Linked DNA regions of Canis lupus familiaris. The protein of the gene in region 3 interacts with the protein of the main gene of each other region in a biochemical or structural test. Links are inferred from orthologs where the notes say so. Each region holds a gene or a part of one and is shown on either strand. Other genes may lie near its edges.

Region 1 (3,822 bases), on a different chromosome or scaffold from region 3:
ATTAATTTCTGTATAATGTATGAGGCTTAGGTTGCAGATTTTTGAAGGTTTTATCACTGGCCTCTAGACATCTAAACACATTCCATCCCATGCTCTCCCTGTCTACTTTTCCATATTTCTTTTTTTTAAAGATTTTATTTATTTATTCATGAGAGACACACAGAGAGAGAGAGAGGCAGAGACACAGGCAGAGGGAGAAGCAGGCTCCATGCAGGGAGCCTGACGTGGGACTCAATCCTGGGTCTCCAGGATCATGCCCTGGGCTGAAGGCAGCCCTAAATCACTGAGCCACCGGGCTGCCCACTTTTCCATATTTCTAAGACATTATTTCATGTCTACTTTAAATTTCATCTCTTTAACTCTTTCATTAGGCAATTTTCAGTTGTTTTACTCTATATTGGTCATATGCCATCCCTAACATTTTACTGCCTTACTGATCAAAAGAATGTAGTTACATAGATATCCTCTACTGTTGACATGAGTCATGGTGATAATACGATAACTTAATAAATGTTGATATGTTTGTCTGTTTTCCAATGTATTGTAAGTCTGCCAAGGAGAAGGAGCATATCTTTTTCTTTCTCAAAACCTAACCCAGGTTTTACACATAGTAAGGATGCAATGCTGTTTGTAGAATTAAAATGGATTGAGTTCTATCATCCTCATATATGCTAGAAGAGGGACATGTTCACCTATATGTGTATCTATGTTCAGATGCAACATAAGATTTTTTGAGGAGGCAAAACTGAGTGGGAAGGCCAGTAGCATTTCAACTGGATCACTCCTGACTACTCATACCTGCTGCTGTACTGGCTGGAACCCGTTTATCTGGGTGAATGAGGTCAGTATCACAGGTAGGATTGTCCAGTACTGGAAGTGTATTTGATTCCAGGATGCTGTGGGAAGATGTACTGCTGATTCATAAATACTTTTCCAATTTATCTGCCTATGATTCTTTTTTTTTTTTAATTTTTATTTATTTATGATAGTCACAGAGAGAGAGAGAGAGAGGCAGAGACACAGGCAGAGGGAGAAGCAGGCTCCATGCACCGGGAGCCCGACGTGGGATTCGATCCCGGGTCTCCAGGATCGCGCCCTGGGCCAAAGGCAGGCGCTAAACCACTGCGCCACCCAGGGATCCCTCTGCCTATGATTCTGTTTAAAGAGTACCCCTCAATACAGTTAGAACTTTGAAATTATATGTGTGCACACACATAAAATATACCCAAGTTGTTGTTGCTGTTTCCGCAGAGTAACCTCCAAATTCTACCTTTCAGAAATCTCTTTTGCATAGGTTCCCTACATTTAGGTTTAGATGCCCATTAATTAAGGACTTCCAGCCAGTATATCTATTTCATTTTAGCTTCCTAAAGACCTAGTGCTCAGGTGATGATAGGAGCTGTGAATATCACATATTATTTGTTCACATATGTCTGAAAGGTCAAAAGTGAAGGTCAGTACATTTCTACATTTTTCTTCTTCCTGTGCCAATTGGTTAAAATAAGATATCCAATAATAAATCATGTTTATTGTCAGGATATGAGCCATGGCACAAGGACGGATCAGTTTTTTGGTGTTAAAGTATTTGGATAGGTTTGCTGTAGTATGATTGCAGCATTTAATTCTGAGCTCTGATTATTTGTAGGCAGTAACATGGCCCATCCCCCTTTCTCTGAATAACCTTTTAAGAGATGGTTCTATTCATAGTTAAGAGGATTTACAGACTTAAACTGCAAAGATACACACAACACCGAGCAGGCAAATTGTCACTCTTTGGGGAAATAATGTTACCTATTGATAGAAATTCATGCTTAAAAAATTCACCATAGGAAACTATGAATTCAGGAAAAAATCCCTTAGCTTCTTAATGTTCTTATGTTCCTGTATTATTTTATCAATTTTTTCTTGAGCAATTTTTGTAGAAAGCAGTCTATAGTTTTTCTTTCAATACTGTACGAGAAATAAATTTTATTTTAGAGAAAAATATCCAAACTACAATAGCCACAAAATATCAACAGTCATAAAAATCTATGGCTAGATTTCCTTTTTTAAAAAACATTACCCCTCCTGAAACAAACAAACAAACAAACAAACAATAAATAAGCATTTGTCTTCGTAAAGGGAAGCTGTTTAGGTTGGAGAAAACTGGACAGATCTGGTAATTATTATCAAAGTTCTAGTTTTCCTCTTGGGGTTAGCTTGAAAACATTTTGATAAACTATTAGTAAGATAGAGCAATAGTATGAAAGCTTGCTTATGGTTTTAAATTCTTTCCAGATAAAAATTTTCCTTGTCAAGAAAGGATCAGGGGTTGTGGAGATTGTCTTACCTTGACATCATGCACAGCCTTGGTGCTACCTTCATTTTCCATGGTTTGGTGAATGTTTGCTTTATATCCCTCTGCCCTACGCAGGGGCAGAAATTGCTTCCACATAGATGGCCTAGAGAAATGTTCCTGGAGGCACTCTTGGTTGTCTTGGGGAAGACTGGGCATGTTTTTACAATAAAGTTCTAAATGAGTCCTGCAGCCTGTTTTTAACAGCAGTAGCCCAGGATCCAGTCTACTTCTCTTCGTCTGGTGGATGCTGTGCCATCTCTCAGCCAGCTGGGGATCTCTCTGCTTCACTATCTGAAGCAACAGGATTATCTGTTTTGGGGATCAGCAGTTTATCCACTAGTGTTCTATTCCAGGTAGAGCTTCTGGTTTTGAATGTCTAGATATGTTATGACTGCCCTCTGCAGGCAGCAATGTGTTCCTAATTCAAATTTAATTCCTAAATCAAAATGGAAAGAAATGGTGTAAGTGATATATTGCTTAGGATATAATGATAAAGGGAATAGACTATTTTGCGAAATTCTGCATTAGTCATGTGTGATAGGGACTAGTATTTGATCATCTTGGACCACGCAATGGAGAGGCAGATGGTCTGCCTAATCTATGTAGTTTTCTTAAAAGGTCATTTTAGCAGCAGTTAGCTTTGCGGTTAGAAATATTTGCTAAACTCACACCCAAACTTAAGCCCAAGGATTATTACACCTAAATTGATATGATGTAGGATTAAAATGATTTTTCTTATGAAGTAACTAGTCATCTAGTGATTAAACCAAAAGTTGGCTTCGAATATTGTGCTTCACATTTGTAAAGTGCCCTATAAATAAAGATTATTACACAGAGTGCAAAGAGTAGAACATAATATCTTTCTCTCAAGGAATATCTAATATTCAAGTAACCATTGCTGGGTCTGGTGCACAGGGGTAAAGACCCCAGATGTATATTACTTGGGTTATGAACTGGAGAAATTTCCTTTTGTAAAATGACCCCGGGCCTCCAGAATTGGTATGCAAAACAAACACAGTCACAGTCCCTATCAACATTTCAGCTTCTTTTTTTCCTTTTCTTTCAGCTTCCTTTTCTTTTTATTCTTTTTTTTTTTGTGAGAAATTGATAGATTGATTGTAAAATTCATATGGAACTGTAAGGGACCCAGACTATCCAAAACAATCTCATAAAAAGGAGAACAAAGTTGGAGGATTCACATTTCTCAATTTAAAAACTTATTATAAGGGGATGCTTGGGTGGCTCAGTGGTTGAGCGTCTGCCTTTGGCTTAGGTTGTGATTCCAGGGTTCCAGGATCGAGTCCCGCATCAGGTTCTCCACAGGGATCCTGCTTCTCCCTCTGTGTCTCTGCCTCTCTCTCATGAATAAATAAAAAAAACTAATTATAAAGCCACAGTAATTAATAGTGTGGTACTCACATAAAAATAGACCTATAGATCAACAGAATAGAGAGTCCATAAATAGATCCATACATTTAGGGACA
Region 2 (3,722 bases), on a different chromosome or scaffold from region 3:
CAGGAGGACTCTGGTCTGCGGACCTCCATCATCCAGATTCTCCATCTATCTCTACAGATCTGGCTCCTTGTGACAATGTATCTGTGACTCCCGTGTCACAACCACCTGAAGTGCTCTGACAGTCATTCGCAGACAGGTGCAGAGCAGTGAAAAAGGTGAGTCTCCCTTTCTGGAGGCCCCATGCTTGTGTCCCGTCCACCTGCCCTCCTGGCCTGCCCGCTCACCCGATTGCAGGTCCTCGTAGTCTTTGATGTCATTGTCAGGCATCTGCTCCACCAGCTGCTCCAGCTGCCTGTCTGTGAGATACTGCACGTCGTCGCTCAGGCTACGGCGCTGCTGCTCTGCCAGCACAGCCTCCTGGAGGCTCAGGTAGCTCCTGGGGATCTGGGGTGCAGAGGGGGCAGGCTGGGCCCCTCAGGTCCTGAGGTGTGCCCGGCCCACCCAACCCTGCTTGCTGCCCTCGGAGGCTTGAGTGTGTGAACTTCCCTTCTCGCTGCCCCATCCCCAGCCTTCCCCACCCCTGCCCCAGAAAACTGCTCGCATGGGGGACTGTTGAGCCTAAGCCCGCAGCACACGTGTTTGACAATGGGGGGGCTGGGAAGTTTAGATTCCTGGCGAATAGGGAACAGCCCCTCTGGCTTCAGTGGGATCCTGCCTACGGTACCCACCAGCCTCCCCGCAAGTCTCTGGCAGCCGATGGTGCTGCCCACATCCTTCATGTTGCACGTGACATGGAAAATCAGCTGCCGTAGCCCCTCCTGGCCTTCCAGACTCTTACAGGAGAGCTCACTGTGAGTGCAAAACAGAACGTGATCACTCATCACACCTCTTCTCACTGACAAGTTCTGCAGCATCTGTGTCCCAAAATTTCATCCCTAAGGCTGGCAAGTTAAAAGAACCCATGAAGGGTGAACACAGAGAAATGTATTAAGCTCTCAGTGCAAAGCTCTGTGCTGGGAGCGATGTAGTATGTGTCCTGAGGAGGAGGAAAGTGAGGACCAAAGGTGCCAGGTGACACCCCCCACCCCCCCAAGGACACAAGCTGGAAGGGAGCACACTTGGGGTGGACCTGGTTCTGGCCCAGGGCCAGTGCCCCTATTTTATCGCCGGCCTCAGGGTGTCCTCAAGGGCACACGAAGAATTCCTGAAATTCTGCATCAGGACCAGCCAGATCCTGCATTCTGGGGCAGGTGGAGGTGTCCCCAGGTTGACCCTGCACCAAGGTCTGCAGCACTCCACCCAGGGGGAGTGGGGTGAAGGAACCTGAGAGCCACCAGCACAGCAACTCACACTTCATTCCTACGAGAGAATGCTTCCTTAACTTGCTGGGCCTGTTCCATCGCCTGTGAAGTGGGCACAAGGACTCCCATAACCCCACAGGGCTGTCGTGAGTCAAGAGAGAAGCAACAAGCCCAGGGCTCTGGTCCCACTGGCAGTGGCCGGGACCGCTCAGACCCAGTGTGAGGACCAGGACCACACCTGGGTCTGCGATTGGTCAGAGATCAGCAAACGTGACGAGTGGCAGGCACACGCATTTCTATCTCCTGGTCCCATCAGGGCCATGCATGCTCAGCATTGGCTCCAGCGGGGAGGGGACCCCGAGGGAAGCATGGAGAGGGTGTGCCCAGGCTCTGCCCTGCCTGCCCACTAGAGGCAGCTTGCCCTCCCCGGGGTGGTCTGGTCTGCTCTGGCTCAGGAGCCCTCTGTAGGCAGATCCCGGTGGCCCCCGGCAGATGGACAGGTGAAGGAGCAGCAGCCTCAGCCACAGCCAGGCACCAGGCAAGAGAGAGCAGGACACTCACTGCAAGTGTTTGAAGGTGATGTCTGGGAAGCCTGTGGCCCGGGACCCGGATGGTGAGCGGCAGAGCGCCAGCACATAGGCGCGCAGCGTTGCAATTCTCTCCACTCGGAATTTGGTTTCGATTAAGTCCAGGTGTGTTCCGACCACCAGCACCACAGCATTTGGGGCCTTGGCCTGCCAGAGAGAACCCCACAGCTGAGCATCGGCTTCCTTTGCTCCAAGAAGAGACTGGGACATAGCTCCCGGGCACAGAGGCGAGCCGACCCTCGGCACCACCCAGGACTGTGCCCCACACTCCGCTCTGTAAGCCTCGAGGGCATGTTATGCACCGAGGGGTTGCATGAGGCACCCCAGAAGAGCTGGATTTCTGATCCCCTCAGCCTCTATGTCAGCTTCCTGTGGCTGTGGCCTGCATCCAGGCTCTTGCCACCTTGACTTGTGAGACGGGAGCTCTGTCTTCCTTTTGCGTCCAAGAGTCGGGGGTGGGGGCTCTTAAATTTAAGAGTGCTGATAATCACCTGGTCAAGGAGGGTTTGAAGCGCTTCACTGCGACCTGATTCTGGGTCCTCTGAAAGCCTGCCAAGATGCCAAGCGTTTCTCCCTGACCATTCCTTTTATTTCCGCAGTCAAGGGGATGCTTCAGAGCAGCGGCAGACCCCCTCACCCTGCTCCCCGTGATGTTCCGAGGCCCGAGAGCTGCAGGGCTGGTGCCTCCTCACCTCAATGTTGAGCAGCCAAAACTGGAGGCTGGCCACGGCCTCCTCTCCCAGTGCCAGGTTCCAGACCACCACGTACAGGGCCTTGTCCGTGAAGAAGCACTGGTTGACAGTGGCCATGCTGGCGGGGCCTCCGATGTCCCAGACGGTGAATTCCACAGAATCCACCTGCTTGTGCAACAAGAACAGTGACAGGAGGCAGTTAGGGACCAAGGCTATAGCCAAACACGTTGAGATGGCTCAGGCACAGCACGGGAAGGGCTTTCCTCATCCTGCCATTTGTCTCAGGAATCAAGTAACCCAAGAGAAGGACTTCTGGAAGCTCCTATCTACCGCCAACAGAGCAGGGGGCCCGGCCCTGGATGGCTGGCTCCTGTGGGCTGGGGTGTTTGTGTCCAACTGTGTCTGCAGAACGCTGGGGACACTGTTCTGCCTCTGTCTCTGCTGCAGATGGTTCCCTACTGGAGGGGACACCCAGGTGCTGACGTCAGCACTCACCCAAGGCTTAAACTCCATCGGTGCCTGCGAGGGTGAGGCCGAGGAGATGGGCCTCTGAACTTGCGTAGGCTGGGAGGCGGCGCCCACCAAGGATGATGGGCAGCTGCCCTGATGTGGGAATCAAACAACAGATGTGCTGTTGTGCTGCCAGGAAAGGCTGTGTAAACGGTGGTTTCTCTATTGTCCTATGAGGTCAGAGTCTGGCCCCAGCAACTAGGACTGCAGTTTCCTGCAGCAAAGAATCGTTTGCACGACATTGCATTTTGGCCTCCAAGAGGAGGCCAAGACAAGGCGTGCTGACCGGCTTTTGCAAAGGCATGAAAATGGACAGCTGTTCTGAACTGGCTGAGGGCCCAGACACACGGGCAGTGACACAGCTCAGCATTCGAAAGGTTAGGAGGGGAAATTATAATGCTGGCCAAATGGAAGTGGATGCCAAAGGACAGGAAAAATGGAAACAGCAATTCACCTCTCTGACCTCGGAAAGCATTTGAAACAGACCAGTTGAAAGAAAGTGATACTAAGTCACTACTCAAAAAAACCCAAAAACCCAAAACCAAAAAAATAGGAGAGAATCCAGAGATTATGGGTGACTTTAGAGACGCTCTGGACAGGAGTTAGTGAGATTCACTCCTGGGGTGTTCAGGGGTGGTGGTGATGGTACTGCTGGTATTAAGTAACCAATCGTTCTGGCGTTACAAGGCATT
Region 3 (3,600 bases):
TGTTCCCCGCCCGAGACCTCTGCCTTGCTCTGCTCCCTGCCTGTCTGTTTACTGCCAGGCCTCGCCAGCCTCCTCCTGGTGAATGTCCTGCCCTGAGAGAGCGAAGGAGTGACCCAGCTCCCATGAGAGGTGGTGAGGGGAGATCATCCAGTTACCCTGGTGTCGGACCCCACTGTAAACCAAGGAGGGGCCAAGGCCCATTGATGCTGTGACACATGTGGGTACACCCCCGGCAGCACAGGAGAGGGTGAGGGAGGTGGTGGTGAGGGGAGGACATCAGAGCAGGTTCTCTGTATGGAATCCTAAAGAACAACAGACCCAGAGACTGAGGCTGCGGGAGGGTGAGGTTGGCCGGATGCAGGTGGGGAGGGAAGGGCGGCAGGGCCCCAGACTCCCTCCCTCGCTCCAGAAACCCTAAGGCTAACGTCCCAGTGTGGCTCTGGGCACCCTTTCCTCAAGTACCAGGCTTCAGGCACACTGGCTGGCCAGGCAGGGTGTGAGGCGCGGAGTGGGGCGCAACTCAGCGGAGTCCCAGGGAGGGGAGCGGGTGTGCTTCACCGTCCCCCAGGCTGCTTCCCGAGGAGGCCCGGTTTCCCTCTTTCCCACCCAGCCTGCGGCGGGGGGAGGCTCACCCTCTTCTCTGTGTTGGCAGGTGAAGGGCGGATGCCCAAGGCGGGGGGCCCGCAGGGAGCGCGCGCGGCACCGGCCCGGCAAGCGGCGGCCAGACGGCAGCAGCCTCGGCAGACGCTGGAGTCCGGCTTCCCACCGTCGGGAGGACAGGGCATGACGGCGGCAGATCGGGCCCCACAGTGGCCCGGGCAGGTGGAGAGTCACTAGGGAGGCTCGGCCGCCTCCTCGCCCCGGGCGATCGCCATGCCGGCTGGAGCAGAGCTGCTGGGGCAGGGGCCGCAGCGTGGCGTGGCCTCGCCCCGCCGCCCGCGCTGAGCGCTCCGAGGGCTCCGTCTGCCCCGCACCGGCCCGCGTCTCGGCGTCCCCCCCGCTCGGCGGCGACAGGGAGCGGCGCCCCGTCCCGTGCTCTGCATCTGGGCCCGCCGCTGCCGGACCATGGGATGTCGGCAAAGCTCAGAGGAGAAAGAGGCGGCGCGGCGGTCCCGGAGGATCGACCGCCATCTGCGCTCGGAGAGCCAGCGGCAGCGCCGCGAGATCAAACTGCTCCTGCTGGGCACCAGCAACTCGGGCAAGAGCACCATCGTGAAGCAGATGAAGATCATCCACAGCGGCGGCTTCAACCTGGAGGCCTGCAAGGAGTACAAGCCCCTGATCATCTACAACGCCATCGACTCGCTGACCCGCATCATCCGCGCCCTGGCCGCCCTCAAGATCGACTTCCACAACCCGGACCGCGCCTACGACGCCGTCCAGCTGTTCGCGCTCACCGGCCCTGCCGAGAGCAAGGGCGAGATCACCCCCGAGCTGCTGGGCGTCATGCGGCGGCTGTGGGCCGACCCCGGGGCGCAGGCCTGCTTCGGCCGCTCCAGCGAGTACCACCTGGAGGACAACGCCGCCTACTACCTGAACGACCTGGAGCGCATCGCCGCGCCCGACTACATCCCCACCGTCGAGGACATTCTGCGCTCCCGGGACATGACCACGGGCATCGTGGAGAACAAGTTCACCTTCAAGGAGCTGACCTTCAAGATGGTGGACGTGGGCGGGCAGAGGTCGGAGCGCAAGAAATGGATCCACTGTTTCGAGGGCGTCACGGCCATCATCTTCTGTGTGGAGCTTAGTGGCTACGACCTGAAGCTCTACGAGGACAACCAGACGGTGAGTGTGCCGGGCTTTGCCCCTGCCTGTTCCCGCCTCGCTGGCTCCTGGGAAGTGGTGGGCTTGAGGGGGTGGGCAGGGCAGGCGACGCTGAGGCACGGGGCTCCGGCCAGGGGCCGTCTCTGGGAGCACAGCGTGGAGCGTGGGGGGGGGGCGTGTCTCGGGCACCGGAGGGCCTCGGGGTACCGTCTGCTGTGGCGCCTCTCTTGGGGGCCGCTAGCACGGACAGGTCCCACTCTGACCTGAGGGTCCCTCACGGGCCCTCGGGGTCTCTGCATCCCTCTGAGTGACCACCACACCCTCGGGCCCCACCAGGTAGGGATGTCCTCACCCAGCTGCTGACAGCACTACCCTCAGGATGCTCATAGACCCCAGGTACCCAGGTGGCCCCTGCCTCAGTGCCACGAGCAGCCCACACCCATGCCCGAAATGCCCAGGGCGTGGAGAGCCATCCCTCTGCCAAGTGGGACCTACTCCTTGGCCCCAAGACCATGTTGCTTGGAGCCCAGAAAAGCGGCCCTGGGGTGCCCGGCCCGCAGGGAAGGCTCACTGGGGAGGAAGAAGGGGGAGCTGGGCCCTATGAGGGGCTCTGCTCTGGGTGAGTTTGGGGTGCAGTCAGGTGTGAGGGGGTATAGCCCTGGAGGCTGGGAGGGAGGTTGACAGCTCGGCAGGACATGAATGGAGACAAGGCCCAGGCCAGGCATCCGGTTGCTGGTCTATGTAGCAATCCAGGAAATACACAAAACCCCTATGATTACAGGCACTGTTATGGGTGCTGGGAACTGCAGCCACGGCCCCACAGCCCCTTTGGGATCCTTAGAGTCTGGCAGCAACAGGGTTAAGAACTGTTTCTGAGGCTTAATCCCCAGGGGTCGGGTGGGTATGGGGGTTCTTTCAGGCCCTCAGCCTGAACACTGTGGTTCTCAGCGTGGAGAAGGGCGCTCAAAGGAAGGGGGTGGATGGAGCCCCCATAGAGGGGACACAGTGCAGGGAGGTACCCAGGAGCACCCAGGGTTGGTGCTGAGCCAGTGGGGGCTCGAGGGGGAGAGGGTGGGCAGCATGATGCAGGTGCAACCAAGGCAGAAAGCCCAGTGCACAAGGCACCGCAGGGGCTTTGGGTGCCCAGGAGTGGTGGTGGAGGCTGAGCAGCCGGATGGGGTGGGGGGTGGCCCAGGCTGTCCTACAGAGGACATTTTGTGCCAGGCAGGAGCACTGAACAGAGACTCGCAATCTGCCCTTGAGGCCTTTGACGCTGGGGGCAGGAGGTGTGGGGGCAAACGGGTCCACAAATAGCCATACATGGTATGGAGCTGTGGGTGCCAGCAGCTCAGGGGGGCAGTGGTCTGGCAGGGGGAAGGGGTGGTGATGGTCCTGGTGGGGGACCCACTGTGCTGGGAAATGGGGGTGGGGGGTTAGCCTCCAGGGCCTAGGGGACCAGGGCAATGGCAAGGAAGGGGCTTCATTCAGTCTTTTTTAAGGCAGGTGGTAGCTTTGTTCTTTGGGTTCAGTTGGGAGTCTTAATTGGGCTGCGGCCCCAAGAAAGTATACAGACGGCCTTGGGCTGCGGCCACCATGCTGGGTGCCTGAGCATTTTTCTGGATGGAGAGAAGGTCTGTGTCTTTCAAGGTATTCAAGGAAATCTAGCCTCTTGGAGAAGGGGAAAGAAACAGCTGCAGGTGATCGTGAAGACAGGAGGCAGGGCTCCCCCTCTGTCCTGTGTGCACCCGGGGGTCTCTCCAGGACTGTGCCAGGCAGTGACGGTGTCAGGGGCCTAGGCTAAGGACACTGCATCCACGGGGCAGGCCTGCCTTG

What was found.
Region 1: the proteins of GNAZ (region 3) and RGS20 form a complex in vitro, tested with the Homo sapiens proteins (2 studies listed by BioGRID, with this or other methods). The link is inferred for Canis lupus familiaris from reciprocal best matches to the Homo sapiens genes GNAZ and RGS20.
Region 2: the proteins of GNAZ (region 3) and LRRK1 form a complex in vitro, tested with the Homo sapiens proteins (2 studies listed by BioGRID and IntAct, with this or other methods). The link is inferred for Canis lupus familiaris from reciprocal best matches to the Homo sapiens genes GNAZ and LRRK1.

What each region holds. Positions count from the first base shown.
Region 1 is NC_049250.1:5,822,487-5,826,308, reverse strand, and holds the start of RGS20 (regulator of G-protein signaling 20), read right to left. Parts: upstream 2,768-3,822; 5' UTR 2,495-2,767; coding exon 2,330-2,494; intron 1-2,329. UniProt on the Homo sapiens protein: Inhibits signal transduction by increasing the GTPase activity of G protein alpha subunits thereby driving them into their inactive GDP-bound form.
Region 2 is NC_049224.1:40,400,079-40,403,800, forward strand, and holds part of LRRK1 (leucine-rich repeat serine/threonine-protein kinase 1), read right to left. Parts: intron 2,686-3,722; coding exon 2,521-2,685; intron 1,976-2,520; coding exon 1,803-1,975; intron 790-1,802; coding exon 669-789; intron 385-668; coding exon 225-384; intron 1-224.
Region 3 is NC_049247.1:27,875,057-27,878,656, forward strand, and holds the start of GNAZ (guanine nucleotide-binding protein G(z) subunit alpha), read left to right. Parts: upstream 1-1,012; 5' UTR 1,013-1,065; coding exon 1,066-1,788; intron 1,789-3,600. UniProt on the Homo sapiens protein: Guanine nucleotide-binding proteins (G proteins) are involved as modulators or transducers in various transmembrane signaling systems.